2 linked regions of the Mus musculus genome follow. The protein of the gene in region 1 purifies or fractionates together with the protein of each later gene. This does not show direct contact. Links are inferred from orthologs where the notes say so. Each region holds a gene or a part of one and is shown in the gene's direction. Other genes may lie near its edges.

Region 1 (7,354 bases):
TGATCAGCTAGCTGTCTTATGCCCTCTGCACCATGAGAGATCGTACCCTCAAACAACGATTTCCTAAGTTGCTTTTGTCTGTTATTTTATTATAGCAACAAGAAAAGTATCAAACACCAGTTCTTTATTTAAAAGTCCCGATGTAATTTATTCTACTAGCTTTTTTTTAAATTAAGATACTCTTACAAAACAAACAAACAAACAAACTGTACCAGGGGCTGGAGAGACGGCTTCATGGATGAGAGTATATACTACTTTTTCAAAGGACCCAGGTTCAATTCCCAGCACCCACATCCAGCAACTCACAACTGCCTGTGTTGCCAGTTCTAGGGATCTAGTGCTCTCTTTAGGGCATCTGAGACAGCTACACGTGCACACATGTCACACAGCACACCCACATATAAAGGAATAAGTAAGTCATTAGAAAATACTCAACCAAATTTACTATGATGGAGCAGATCCCTCATTTTAAATGAATTCGTTTTTGTGAACTCATTCGTTTCTAATTTATAATCAAAAGAGACTATATATACAGTTGAGAGAGGTTAACCTCTGTAGAATAATATATAAATACACACTTGCTTCCAAAACTTCACACACAGGGAGTGCTATCTATGCATTAACTAATAAAGATCGTCTTTGAAACACGTGTGAGTTCTCATTGGATGATTGCAGATCCTGATCTGAGCAATTTGGAAATGGAAATGAATCTCTAGTGTGTCGTTTGGTAAAGGGAGCTTGGGAAAGAGACTGAATCAGTGATTTCTCCTCGTTCACTCTTCCTGTGTGAAATGAGGATGGTAATTGCACTTGTCCCCAGAGAGTGTGAATGTTGCCCTTCTAAATCCCTGGCAATCTTGTGTAGGTAACTGCAGGATTCTGATGCTCTGGAAACCACTTTGTGCAGCCCTAATTCAAGAAGCTGCAAAGTGGGATGGAGACAAGAGACATACTTCTTCCTTAGAAAAAATGAAAGCCTTCCTAACTCAAAAAGTTCGCAATGTGTTTTTCTTCGTTAGGGTTTTACTGCTGTGACCAAGGCACCTTTTATAAGGACAACATTTAATTGGGGCTGACTCATGGGTTCAGAGGTTCAGTCCATTATCATCAAGGTGGGAACATGGCAGCATCCAGGCAGGCATGGCGCTGGAGGAGCTGAGAGTTCTACATCTTCATATGAAGGCTGCTAGCAGAATATTGGCTTCCAGGAAGTTAGAAGTAAGGTATTAAAGCCCACAACCACAGTGACACACCTATTCCAGCAAGGCCACACCTCCTAATAATGCCACCAACCTGGGCAGAGCATATTCAAACAATCACAGTCTCTCAAACTATGTGGAAAATATTGCAGAGTTTTCTTTATAAGATTCCAGTCATTTCCTGTTACCTGAAGCTTGCTCACACCGGAGCCAGAGCATGGCGTACCTGCTCAGTGGGCGTTCTCTTCTTGGTGCTTATTCTTTGACTTGATTGCTGTGTGTGTGACATATGTGCATATACATGATCATGTGTGTGCATGAGCACACATGGAGAGCCCAGAGTTTGATAGTGGGTGCTTTCCTCAATTGCTCTGCACCTCATTTTTGAGTCAGGATCTTTCACTGAACCTGGATGTCCCTGATTGAGCCTGGTCCCCAAGTCCCACTGATCGCTCCATCTCCACACCCCCAGATCTGAAATAGCAGATGTGGCTTCAACATCTGGCTTTGTAAGTGGTCCCTTTCTAGGGATCCCAATCCAGGTCCTCTTGTGTGTGCAGCAAGCACTGCATCAACTAAGCCCCACAGAATGCATTTTTTTAAGAGCAAAAAATAGATACAATAACTTCCTATATCTAATTTAGAAGATCATTGTGGGATTCAATGAGGTAAGTCATTGTGGTGGTTAATCTTGTCAGCTTTACAGGACTTGGTGTGTCTTAGGGAAAGGTGTTCCCAGAGAGGCTTATCTGAGGAGGGGAGGCTCTTGCTGCCCTTGGGCAGTGCCATAGCATGGACTGGGATATTGGAATAAAAAGGACTAAACACCTCTCATCCATCCCGACTGTCAATGCCGTGTGACCGACTTCCTCACGCTGCTGCCTTCTGCGCCATGGTAGACTGGACCCTCAAAGCATGGCTCGAACCAAAGCCTTCATTCCCTGAGTCGCTGCTGTTGCCAAACATTTTGTCACAGCAATGAGAAAAGTCACTAGTACAGCCTGGTGGTGAAATCCAGACCTTTATAAGTTCTCAAACCAACGAACCTCTCACCGTCCTCTAAATCCAGCCAAGTTGGATCCTGCATCCTTATTCTCAAAGTACCTTTCCAAGCTGAAGACTGAGTTTAATATCTCCTACACATCCTCCTCTGCAACGTATTAACATTCCTTTCTCCTTTACTCAACTCCCTATTCCCACCCCTTTGCTCCTAATGAGCCGTTTTTATCCAGCCAACTTCACACTACCTGAGTGAATGTGTGTATGTTTAATATCACTCGTGCCTGTTCTTCCCCATTAGAGAAAACAAATGAACTTGTCAGACAAATAACTGTTTGGTTTAGAGTTCAGTGGACTTGGCTCAGAAGTCCTGAGTGTCACATCTGGACTGGTTATTTGTTTCCACACTGTCTATCCCCATTTCCGGGTTGCTTGTTTAATAAGTTAAAATTCAAGGCCAACAAAACCCTTGTCAGATTTATCTGCAGCTTGTTCCAGGCAATATTCGAGTCCTCCCCACCCCACCCCACTCCCCCACACAATCTCCCCTCCCACTCCCTCCCCCAGTGCCCAGTGGGTGAACCCGAACCATAGTGGATACGCCTTGGAAATTCCAAGTTAAAAGCATTTTCACCTGATTCTCAGGCAGACCCACACGCCAGTAGCTGCTCTGGGGTCTCTGTCCTCGTAAGTGGCAAGGAAGAACAGGGTGTGGGAGGCTTGCAGCCCTGGAATAGTCTTGGACCCTATTGGAATAGGGATTCCCCATCCTCCAGACCTTCTGAATGTGCGTAGGCAAGTGTTGTATTACCATACAACCAGCACATTCTCTTGGGGAGCTTTGGGCAAGGCTATTTACAACCTACATACCTGGGCCCCACCTCTCAGAGTCTCCTGTGTTTACTTTGGAGTCCAGCCAGGACAAAGGGCTCCTACAAGCTCCTCAAGTTCTTACTCTGCATCAGATCAAAGTGAAAGGTGTCCTGCAAATTGCAGTCCTTGAAGGTTAAGCAACCATCTGGGTTAAACTTGACCTTTGCAGGCTGTCCTGGGACCCTAAGGCAGTTCCCCATAGACTGCTTCTTAAGGGACAATGGGCTAAGGAGACAACCTCAGTCACAGAGTTTTTGGTCACCAGCCCTGATTTTGCGAAGCTCCAGCTCCTTGCCCTGCAGCTGGCAGCCACATTAGCCTCGCAGCAACCCCCCCCCCGACCCCGCCCCACCCTTCTCGCTCCGCCCAACCCCGCCCGTTGGCACCGCCCCCGTGACGTGCCGCAGCAGTCGCGAACATGCGCACTGAGTCCCGCGCGCTGCTCCGCCTCGGCGCTGTCATTCTCCGCGGCGCGGCGGCCAGTGCGGACTGCGGTTCCCGCCCGGCGCGCGGGTGCTGTGACTGCTCCTCCGGGGCGGACTGGTGACTCTGCAGCGCTCTGGAGCCTCTCGTGCGGGGACTCCGTGGTGTCGCATTCCCTCAGAGAGGGAGACACGCACCCGGAGCTCCGAGCACAGCTCTCAAGGGCTGGCGGCCACGACGGCGTTTGCTCGGGTTCCCGGTGCAGTCCGAGTCTCTGCGGCCGCCCGGTGCGCCCGGGAGAGCGCACCTCCCCCGGCACGGCAGAACCGAGGCGACGAGGATCAGGAGGGTCCTGCGCCCGCTACCACTGCCCACCGCGGGCCAGCCCGGCTGCGAGCAGCGGAGTTGCAGCGCTTTTTAGAGCTCTGGAGCCCCAGAAGACCTCTGCGAACCAGTAAGTTGACTGTAGTTTCTGAAGTTTCGGGCAGCGTGGGAAGGACAGGTTCGTTTTATTCCTGTGGTTCCAGGCCGAGGTTTTACCTCCCGTTAGCGGGGCTGCGGCTGGAGGAAGGCGTACTGGACTGTAAAGGATGGGGCATGGCATTCGAAGACTCAAGGCTGGAGTCTAGGGCTGGCTCCTGCCTCTCCCGAATGTGCCAGCTGGAAATGTGCTAGGGGAGACAGGTGCTCCGAGGGCATTTGGCCCGCCGCTAAATTGCACATTCTGAGCTCCTTGATTTTGCGCCGCGTGGGGTCAGGGACGTCAGCCACCTCCATCCTAGGAAGCTCTGCCTACATCCCCTCCATCCCCTCGGAGGACTGGCACAGAGATGAGAAGCTGAGACATTGCTGCTCGGGCCTGCAGGCTTTCTGCACATCCCACTTCACTCTTCCCTTAGGCAGAAGTTGCCAACCTCCCATAATTGGAGCCTAGCCCTTTAGGGAAAAACAACTTATGTGTCAAATGAGTGTTTTGTGCTCCAAGGCATAGAAAATGAGAAAAGTGCTCTATGCGTTTTAATTCATATGCTTTAAGAATGTGGGCAAGTCTCAAAGAAACAGGATTCCGAGGATGGCTGAGTTGTCCTGCATCTCTTATGTAAGCCTCCTGGCTGGGTACCTTTGCATCTGCAGGGGCTGCATCTGGGCCTCTACTCACTCCATTTTTTTTTTCAAGTCCAGCTTGAGCCGTATTTAATAAAAACGTTGACATGATATAGTGGTTCGTAGTCAGAAACAGGGCAGTCTTTAAATTAGACTGTCTTCTCCTAATAGGGAGCATGGGAGGAAGAACTTGGTGTATTTTTTTCAAGGCAGTTCAAGGAATTAGATACATAAATCATGCTTTAAAATACCATACATTGTACAGAGAGCATGCACAGAACCCTCTTTAGAACACATCCCCTTTTGTTTTAGTAAAAGTGGAGATTTGCTCATACCAGACAATTGTTGAGTCTGAAAGTGAAGTGCACTGATGGCCTTAATTATCTTAATAAACAAAGAGCATGATTTATAGGTAGCTACAGTGGCCTACTTTGAAGGGTAGAAATCTTTAACCTTTCATTCTCAGCTGCCCCTAGAGATTCCTTTTAAGCAGAGCAATGGATTAATGCCATTGATGTTTAATACTTGAGTTGATTAAATTTGTAAAAGGAATTCTTTGAAATACCATACAGCCCTGCTGTGTGACTGATAGGCAGTGACTGTTATAAAGAAAGATAATATTTAGAGTACCAGCTTTGCATTAACCAAACAGCTCATATTGCAGCTGCCCTGTGATACACATGTATCCATAGATGGAAAGAAATATGCACACAGAAAAATATATACATGCATATGGATTTGAAATAAAAACTCAGGGATGTGAGTCAATGTGAGATTTATTTAGGTGACCTTTAGAAAGAGGCATGTATGGGTTAGAGTGCTTCAGTGGATATAACAAGATGAACTAACTAGTTATAGGCACCTGGTTTAAGCATAGTTATTATTTTAAGGATTCTAAGAAAAAAGAAAGATTATTTTAACGTTGAAAAGCTAGTTATCACATTGTAGTTTATAGGAGCATTGAGTGCTGACCCCTAGAAGAAATTTTGTCCAAGTGTGGGCTTTCAAGAGACCAGGCTGTTGGCACTATTGCTGGCTTTGAATCTGAGCAATACCGGAATTCTGTGCCCGGCGTCTCCATCTGTAAAATAGGTGGGTGTAATTGCAGTACCTTCCTGGTTGGGTTGTGCGAGGCTTAAGTGGAATCCTGATGAGAAGGTATTGAGCTGGTGTCAAGTATCGTAGGCTGACTTTGGGGAAAAAGTTTCATGCTGTGAAAGGAAATTTGTCTTGGGATAAGCTGTAGACATTAAACAGCTGTTGCTGGAGGTCAGTAGAAGCAGTGCACATGTGTAATAGGAGAGAGGATATAAACACCCTGGCCACATGTTAATATTGGATTTACTGTCTCCAGCAGTGCCTCCCTGAAGGCCTTCTATGGAGATGGCTTTGTCTTGATGTTAGAGAGGAAGAAACTGAGGCCGAGAGAGATCAAGTAGTAGAAATTAGAGCTGGCATCTTAAACATGCCTGTTGGAATCTTGTTCTTTGACCCTGCTGCCTCAACTTGCAAGCAATGTGGGTGGGTTATCCTTTCTCCACGGGAAGTTTATGTTTAAAGTTTCAAGTATGCAAAGTGCTAAATAGCACTCCTTCTTCGAGACTGGAAGCTATTATCATCAACTTCTCTGTTATTAAATGCCAGGCCCTGGTTGCAAACCCCGTTTAGTGCTATTGTGAGAAAGATAACAGGGTGTTTTGCCTTCAGCTGAAACTGGATTCTGTTACTTCTTTCTTCCCTGTTTATACATTCGTAGAACCAAAGAGAAAAGTTGGGTAACTTGATACTTTGTATTGGTGGTTGATGCTCGCTATTCTGCCTCCCTGCAGCCTGTGTCTTTGCTGTCTGTGGTCCACATGGACACAAGCAGCAATAATCAGCCAGCATTGTCTCTGAGCATAGCCCAGTGTCCAAGGAAGAACTCCACTCAGGCAGAGAGATGGGGCCTTGTGCTTATCTTGAACTCAGTGTTCTGAAGTGGAAATCATTTATCCATCACATCTATGGGCACACTTCCTTTAGTCTTAGGTTTAAAGCCATAGGAAGCAGTTGTTGGCGGATTCCATACGAGCTATTTTGGTTTAAAATCTCCATGGACTGTTGAGTTTCTCTTCTGAGTTCTAGGGTGTGGGGTGATTGAGTGGCCATGGTACTTTGGGCTTTCTTAGGTATTCTGGTCTTTATCTTTTAGATACTGAAATCAATTGCTATAGAAAGCTCCTAGGCAGCTGACTCACCCCAGGTGAGTGAATGTTTACTGAAACCCTCCTAGCTGATATCCTTACCACTAAAAGTACTCTAAGATGGATGCTCACTGCTACCTGGCTGATGCTCTGGATCTCTCTCCCCTCCTAACCCCCCCCCTCTCTGTGTGTGTGTGTGTGTGTGTGTATGTGTGTGTGTGTATGTATGTATGTGCGTGCCATGTATCTGTCTCTCCAAAGCTGCTCAACAGTGAGTTTCCAGTAGTGAGCTTCTGAGAGCCTTTGGAGGCACAACGCCACAACTGCAGTATGCCAAAAAGAACTCCTGCCACCAACCGAGTTCTCTCTACTGATATTTCATCCTTCCTTTTCAAACAATACATACACACTTTGCCTCAGTAGCTAGATTCCAGCTGTTCCCTGTTCTGGATTTTCTGATCAAATGTCTCCCTGGAACATGGCTATAACTAGAGCTAACCCTGTGAAAATAATTTCCATATGGATGTTTTATTTCCTATTTGTGTTGTTATAGTGGATTTTCTGTTGTCACTT
Region 2 (7,461 bases), on another chromosome or scaffold:
GGACAACCTTGATCAACAACTCAAAAGAGAACTTCTCATGCCTGGTGTTGTTTTGTTTTTAGATGGTCTATGTATCTTGTGGGGGGGGGGGGCAATGGAAAAGTTTCATTTAAACTAAATAGTGTATATGTATACAAGTCATGTTTTGTATTTAATTTTATATATATAGATAGTAATATGACTATGGCTTTTTGACACCCTTGCTATTATTTTACCCACATGCCTCTTTCTCCTGTATTTATCTCTCTCCCCTCTCCCAAATTAACCCCTTTCAATTTTTCCTATTTCCTCCTCCAATTTGCCTGTACCCCACCATTCCCCATTTCTGCCATTTTCTCCTCTACTTTCCGGGGCTTTGCAGTTCCTCCAGATTACGCACTCACATATGAAAACTTGGAACTGGGAACCACAGATGAGAAAGAGCATGGGATGTGTGTTTTCCTGGGTCTGAGTCACATCACTCAAAATGATCTCTACCCAAAATAGCTATCCAAATAGCTCTCTATCAAAATAGCTCTACCCATTTGCCTGAAAAATTCCATGGTTTCATTTTTCTTTACAGTTGAGTATTCCACTGGGTACGCGTCCCACATTGTCTTTAGCTGAAGAACATTTAGGTTGTCACCATGTCCTAGCTATTGTGACTAGAATGGCAATGAATATGGCTGAGCAAGTAGCTGTGAGGTATGATGTCATCATGTCTTTTGGGCATATGCTGAGGCGTGGTCACTTAGAATGCATTTCCTTTGTACATATCTGTGTGTCTTTGTGTAAGGTGTGTATGCATACATGTTTAGAGGTGTTCATACATGCTTGGGGGTGCACTTGCACACATATGCAGTGCCTGTGGAAGCCAGAGGTCAATGCTGGGCTTTCTAAATTGGTTCTCTAACATATTTCTCAGACAGGGTCTCTCACTGTTTCTGGAGGTCCAGACACTTGCCACTGTAACGGCTTTCATTTTTGTTTTGTTTTGTATTTTTCTCTTTTCTTTTCTTTTCTTTTCTTTCTTTTTCTTTTCTTTTCTTTTTTCTTTCTTTCTTTTTTTTTTTTTTTCTGAGACAGAGTTTCTCTGTATAGCCCTGGCTGTCTTGGAACTCACTTTGTAGACCAGGCTGTAGACCTCAAACTCAGAAATCCACCTGCTTCTGCCTCCCAAGTGCTGGGATTAAAGGAGTGAGCCACTACCGCCCGGCTGTAACGGTTTTGATAATGTGTGTTTTGGGGCTTTGTTAATGTGTGTTTTGGGGACTCAGACTCAGTCTCATGTGTACAGCAGCAAGCCATTTATTCACTGATCCATCTCCCTTCCTTGCACATTAGTTTTTTTTTCCAGTTTCAGTAACCATTTTTATTTTCTTGTTTGATTGGTAAGAAAACAAAAATCTCAAAATGGGAAACAGCTTAGCTAATAACACTAAATATACATTGAAAGCAAAACAGGAAACACAGATTAGACAAACCAAAAAAGAACACTAGACTAGAAACAGGGGACTTAAAGGTGAGAGAAACAGAACAAACAAAAACCCAAGCAAATAACAACCAAATCTAAGAGAAATTCTAGAACAATGTCTCTCCATTTGTTGGGTAATAGATACTGCCTGTAAGAAAATAAAATTTCAGGTTTAGAACAAAGCATGGCTTGCCTTGGGTAGGCTGAGGACACTGTTTAAGTCAAATCTACTTTGATGACCTTTGGGAGCAGATCAAAATGGGAAATAATGCTAACATCTTTCCAGGGCTTTCTCACTTGTTCACAACATCAGCAAATCTTCTTGTGGAGACAGAATCCCTTTAAAGCTATCCGGAGGAAGAGTTGTGGGGTTTTCCTGTTTTTTTGTTTTTATTTATTTTTTTCAAAAGTAAGTAAAGAGAAAAAAACAGAACAGAGTCTTGCTGGGAGTTGGTTAATTTGTCATTTAATCATTTTGCCTCTTATTGGTCCACTAATTACGTGAAGAAGCTATTATGCTGCAGATGCCAAAAATGAGACTCCTCTCAAAGAAATTATTAACAATGGAGTGACTTAGTACCATCTGCTCCAGGTTTCAGGAAGAGATCGGACATGGAATTCCTCAGTGTCACCTTCTCTTGTCCTCAGTTTCCTCGTCCATCACATGAGGATCATTTACTGAATAGCAGCAAATTTCTCAAAAGAGCACTGCGGAAAAGACAAAGAAAAAAAAGTCAGCAAAAGAGACTGGTATTTTTAAACTACAGGGGAAATGTACTGAGCAGGAAAGATAACACAGACCTTGAGCGCCTAAGGAAGCCAAGGCTGCTTCGCTTAAACTTACTTCTTAGAAGATTAGATTTGCTGAGGGGGAGGGATGAGTTTCTTACCAAAATCATTAAAGAAAATGATTCTGAACATGTCTTAAAACAGAGTTCTCAGTAAACAGGAATTGCCTATAAAGAAAATCAGGAAGGCAAAATGTTTCTTTTTATGAAGTTACATCCTGCCATAGAAAAGCTGAATCGGAAATAAAGACTGCAGACCAACCCGGCTATTATTTCGTCAAGGAAAATCTGAGCAAAAAGCTCAGCTCAGCCACCAGCGAAAACAAGAAAACCAAGAGAAGTTTGAATGCCCCAAGGAGCCAGACGAGCAATGGCCACTGGTAAACAGCTAGGGAAAAGCACAAGCAATCTCTACTGGGTGGTTTTGGGACTCTTTGTTGCAGGCCCCTTGAATTTCAGTCATACTTCTCTTTCACTTTTCCTGGGGTAGGTGTGGGGGGGGGGGCGGGGAGCATATTTGGGTACCCAAGAAAATGAGACTAACAAGTCATTAATTTCTTACTATTTGTTGTGCGTTTGCTGGTCCTAGCTTTCCCAGTTTCTGCAATGGTACTTCTCTACTTTGCTCCTCACTTCCCTAATTTGCCATCGCCATTCTTAACACCTTTCCATTTTATCCTCCCACTCTCAAAGGCGAGGCTATCTCTTTGGAGAAATAGGTTCCCATGGCTGTGAGGCTGGAGTGGCAGGTGCCAGTCTCCACTGGCAAAGTGGAAAGCAGCTCATTCCCTGCGCACTCTCCTGCCCACCTCACCAACTCGCAACTCCACACGATCCTCAGACACACAACTCTTCCTTCTCCGCCAACCTCGCATCCTCTCACACACCCTGTGGCCGTGCGCACCGCAGGCTGCCCGCCACCACTGTAAAGCTCAACCCACTCGGCGGCCCCACCCATGGCCGTCCCGCCTCCGACGCATTCACCAATGGCTGCCGGCGCTCAGCCCTCAGCGGGCCCTTTGATAGGGCAGAAAGACCTGACAGTCTCAGGGCGTGTCCCGCCCCCTCTCGAACCCCTCGGGATCCGGAGCAGCCCGAGCATCAGCGAGAGTAGCTGCGAGAAGCCGCGGCGGTGGCGGCGGCGCGTCGGTGCAGTTGCGCCATCTGTCAGGAGCGCAGCCGGCGGGGAGGGGGCTCCGCAGAGAGGAGGAGGGGTCGCCGTGCGCCGGGCCTCCGAGACCCGCCCGCTGGTCAAGAGCTCAGCGAGGCCGCCTCTAGCCGGAGCGTTTCGAGGACTCCCCGGGCACACACAAAGCCGCCACCCGCGCCAGGGAGGGACCGGGCTGCCGGGCCGGGGACACCGGCGCCGCCCCCTCGGCGCTTCGCGAGGCCCACGAGCTCCTGGGCCCCGCCGCGGAGCCGCGGGAGCCGCCTGGGCCGCGCCGGAGGAGGGCGGGGAGAGGACCATGTGAATGTGCTCCGGAGCTGAGCGCCAAGCCAAGCAGGTAAGCGACAGGGGATGCGCGGAGCCTCGGGATGCTGCGGAGACGCCCGGCCCAGCGCCCCCGCACGGGCTGCTCCCGCTGCGGTCCCGCCGCGCAGCCTCCAGGGCGCCCCGCGACGCAGGACACTGATGCGGGGTGCCGCCCCGAGGCTGCGCAGGCACCGGGGTGTCTTTCCTCGGCCGCCGGCGGGTGCCGGGTGGAAAATAGGAATTGGCTTGGGGGTGAGGTTGGCCCAGCTCCGCCCCCGCCCTCCTTTCGCGGCCCCCCGCGGGGACCAGGGCTGTGTGTGTTGTTTTAATGTCAGGGATGATGTAATCACTTAATAATTGATGCCCCGTGCTGCTTTCCTCCCCACCCAACCCCTGCCCCACTCCTCCACCTCTCGGCTTCCTCCCTCGGTGGCCCTTGCCGTTCCCCAGCGCATCCTCCTGCCTATTTCTGGAACCTCCCTTGCACTTCCCCCACCCTCCCCTTCACCCTTCCTGTGCTACCACCCACCCACCCTTCCCCTTTCCCCTGTGTCTGGCCTTGCCTCCTCTTCCTCTGTCCCCCCACCCCTTTTGCTCTCTCAAGCTTATTTCTCCTCCCTTCTCGACACGCTGGATTTCCTCCCTACTTCCCTAGGTCGGTAGACGGTTTTGTTTGGTCTCCTCTAGGCTCTCTTATCTTTGAGGCCACAGGGACTGACTGAGCTAGAAAGAGGCCACCAAGCTTGGGCCCAGGAGGCGTTTGCTGGGACTCACTGGGAGGAGGGATAATAAAATCACCCGTTTTGCCCCTCCTTCCTCTAATAAATCAGACTCATTCTGTGTGTGTGTGTGTGTGAGTGTGTGTGTGACACAAAGAGCCCTTTCAGTTCATAGAGGAGAGACACATAAAGTACCCAGGGCACCATGCTTCTTGTGTCTCATCCCTGGGGCGTCCCTTTCTTTCTGGTGAAGCAGTTGATCTCTTAGTCTTTTCTGCCACACTTACCAAAAAATGAAGGCTCCCGGATCCCGGGTGGCAGGTGCAGGCATTTAGCTGTGTTTACAGACTGGTAGCATTGAGTGGCAACTGCAGTTTTCTCTATTTAAGGTGGTGGTGGGGGGGATTATTTCAGCTGTTTTAGGAGTTGCTATACTTTCAAGGAACCTTCCCCTATCCCTCATTTCCCCCCTTTTCTTCTTGGGGGATAGTTACTGATACCTGAGACAGGATAAATTGATGAGGGATCAGAAGAATTTTGTGTCTGAGTCAGAATCAAACTGTTTAACACGAGTGAGGCAGCCTGACTGGATTCCCTAAAGTCCAAGGCCTCTTTGCTGAGTGAAGTCTTTTGAAATGTGCTCTGGTCTGCCCAGCAATGCTGCCTAGCCCTTTTATTTAAGAAACTGGGGCCATGGATAGCAAGCACTTGGGCTGGCGTTTGGAAGACCCTGGAGGTGTACCACTTGTCTGCTTCAAGGTTGACTTTGGAAGCTCACATCCGGCCTCTCACCCTTTGTGCTCAGTCTCCCTGTCTGGCTCTACCCAGTGAGTACCACACATTCAGACTTGGAGGAAGTGGTTTCAACTCTCACACTTTGGGTCTAGTTAATTATGAACAGGGGATGTAGATGTCTGAGTTCAGAACCTATGGTGTTCCTCTGAAGGTAGAAATGTTAATGTAAGTCTCAGGCTTAGTTTGTCAAAACTTAGGTCTGATCTGCTGATTCCTGGGTTGTGGGGTCTCAACTGTTGAAAGTAACGAAACTGTCCCAAGTTTACTCTTTAGCTGTTTTATCTGAAAAGAGTTGTGATCCATTAAGCTGACATCTTTTGTGGAACATATATATTTATACATATACACACACAGTAGAAGGGCTAATACTGAATGTTCTCTGAAAACAAAGGCTGGTTTGTTGGGATGCCAGACCCAGAAAGGAAAGTCAGTACACGATAAACTTGCACCGTACTGACCAAGTCAGAGGCACTTATTAATGATAAGGTTGCATGAGTGTGGGCGAACACCTCTACTTTCTGGAGGTCTGAAGTCCCCTCCCCCATCGTCTGATGTTCTTGAAGCCCAGGCCCAGCACACGTGTCAATTCTGAAGCCTTTGCCAGCTTCTCTGCTCCAGGCAAGCCACCATGTCTTCAAATTTGTCTTCCAACACCATTATCAGATTCTGTTTTTGTTTTCTGTCCATTTCTGCCATTGGGTAGAGAACCTAACCCAATGGTTTCTTGGTTTCTGTCAGGTTTTACTTTTGTTGGTATTACCTGGTAGTTCCATTTAATGAGCGACAAATGTGAATTAGATCAACGATATGGACCCAACGTCTTTTAAAAGAGACTCATGTTAGTAGCTAGAGCAGGCCTGAAAATGTATAATGGTGCTAAACCAAAATATATTTATTTTTGTTCACATGTAGCCCTGCATAGGTGTCTCTGCTCAGTAGCTGGCTTTCTTCTGTCCTGAGTGATTCTGGGTCCCATTATCCTATCATGCCACAGCTTTCCATAACCTGTTGTAACAGTTTCAACCTGTTTCAACGGATTGGTGGGATGAAGAGTTGGGGAGGGTGCATCTACCTTTAAAATGCTTTGGTCTGCACATGTCACTTCCACTCTGTCTTTAGAAGAGTCGTGGCTATATGACCATGCTTAACAGCAAGAGAATCCAATGAGAAGTGTAGGTTAGCCATGTGCCCCGAGAAAGGAAAAGGCTTGTGTGTTTGGTAAACACTTTTGCATAATAACACTTAACAAAAGCCATCATTGTTTGGTTGCTTTGATTTTCATCTTCAGCATGTTTTTTAAAAACCTGGCATTTTGTGATTTCGGGGGACCACTTATCACGGGGCGATCCTTAGCCACCACTCAGTCCTGGCTCTGCGGTCTTTGATGGGGTTCTTTTACCACAGAAGCACCCATCTTGGCCTAGTCTTCTTCAGGCAAGTCTGGAAACTCCAGAGAGTTTCTGTAAGGGAAGAGCCTTACAGATCGCAGTACCATTTTACGTACTTTCCTTAACAATTAAACTGACACTTGGTGACCCCAGAGGAGGGAGGGCTTCATGGGGACTGGACAGTGCAGACAAGGGAGTGAGAGTCGTATCTATTTGCTTAGGTTACTAAGGACTGAACCTCCGTTACTGTCTATTCACTGACACGGCTTTCTTTTATGACAGTTGCTGGTTTAGTTGGGAATTAGGCTTTTCCTCTTTTCCTTCAGCATCTTTCCATCACCAGCTTTCTTGGCTGTGTCTTTTCATCCAACACGTTACATGGAGGCTAATCCGTTAGCTTCTGGACCTGGAATAGGGGAACTGCTAGTGTTCCAAATGGTTCCTGGTCTCCACCGACCCCCTACATTAGTATAGGAGTCCAGCCCATACTGGTGATTACAGTTTATATTGTACTTTTATTTTTTTCAGTGACCATTTCCTTACATTTATCTGTCCTACAAACACTGTGCTGTTTCATGCAAAAAAGCAATGAGATAGGGCTGTGGCACTGAATGCATCGGAGCCCTTGTTCTACAGAAGCCCACAGCCTACTAGAGAAGATGGCAACAACACACAATAGCTGATGTTTATTGAGCACTCACCCTGGGTCATGTTCCACTTACAAGCTAATCTGAGCGATAATGATATGAAACAATGTCTCTGATAATCACTGTGTTGTGAAAGGAAAGTTACAAGCTTCAATAGTCTTGAGTAGCTAATTCTAAGGGAAGAGTCGGGATCAGGA

The links.
Region 2: the proteins of Pag1 (region 1) and Fyn purify together in Homo sapiens (co-immunoprecipitation; 3 studies listed by BioGRID and IntAct, with this or other methods). This does not show direct contact. The link is inferred for Mus musculus from reciprocal best matches to the Homo sapiens genes PAG1 and FYN.

The regions. Positions count from the first base shown.
Region 1 is NC_000069.6:9,829,805-9,837,158, reverse strand, and holds the start of Pag1 (phosphoprotein associated with glycosphingolipid-enriched microdomains 1), read left to right. Parts: upstream 1-3,479; 5' UTR 3,480-3,948; intron 3,949-6,789; exon of another isoform or gene 6,790-6,840; intron 6,841-7,354. UniProt on the Homo sapiens protein: Negatively regulates TCR (T-cell antigen receptor)-mediated signaling in T-cells and FCER1 (high affinity immunoglobulin epsilon receptor)-mediated signaling in mast cells.
Region 2 is NC_000076.6:39,366,445-39,373,905, forward strand, and holds the start of Fyn (tyrosine-protein kinase Fyn), read left to right. Parts: upstream 1-3,354; 5' UTR 3,355-3,746; intron 3,747-7,461. UniProt on the Homo sapiens protein: Non-receptor tyrosine-protein kinase that plays a role in many biological processes including regulation of cell growth and survival, cell adhesion, integrin-mediated signaling, cytoskeletal remodeling, cell motility, immune response and axon guidance.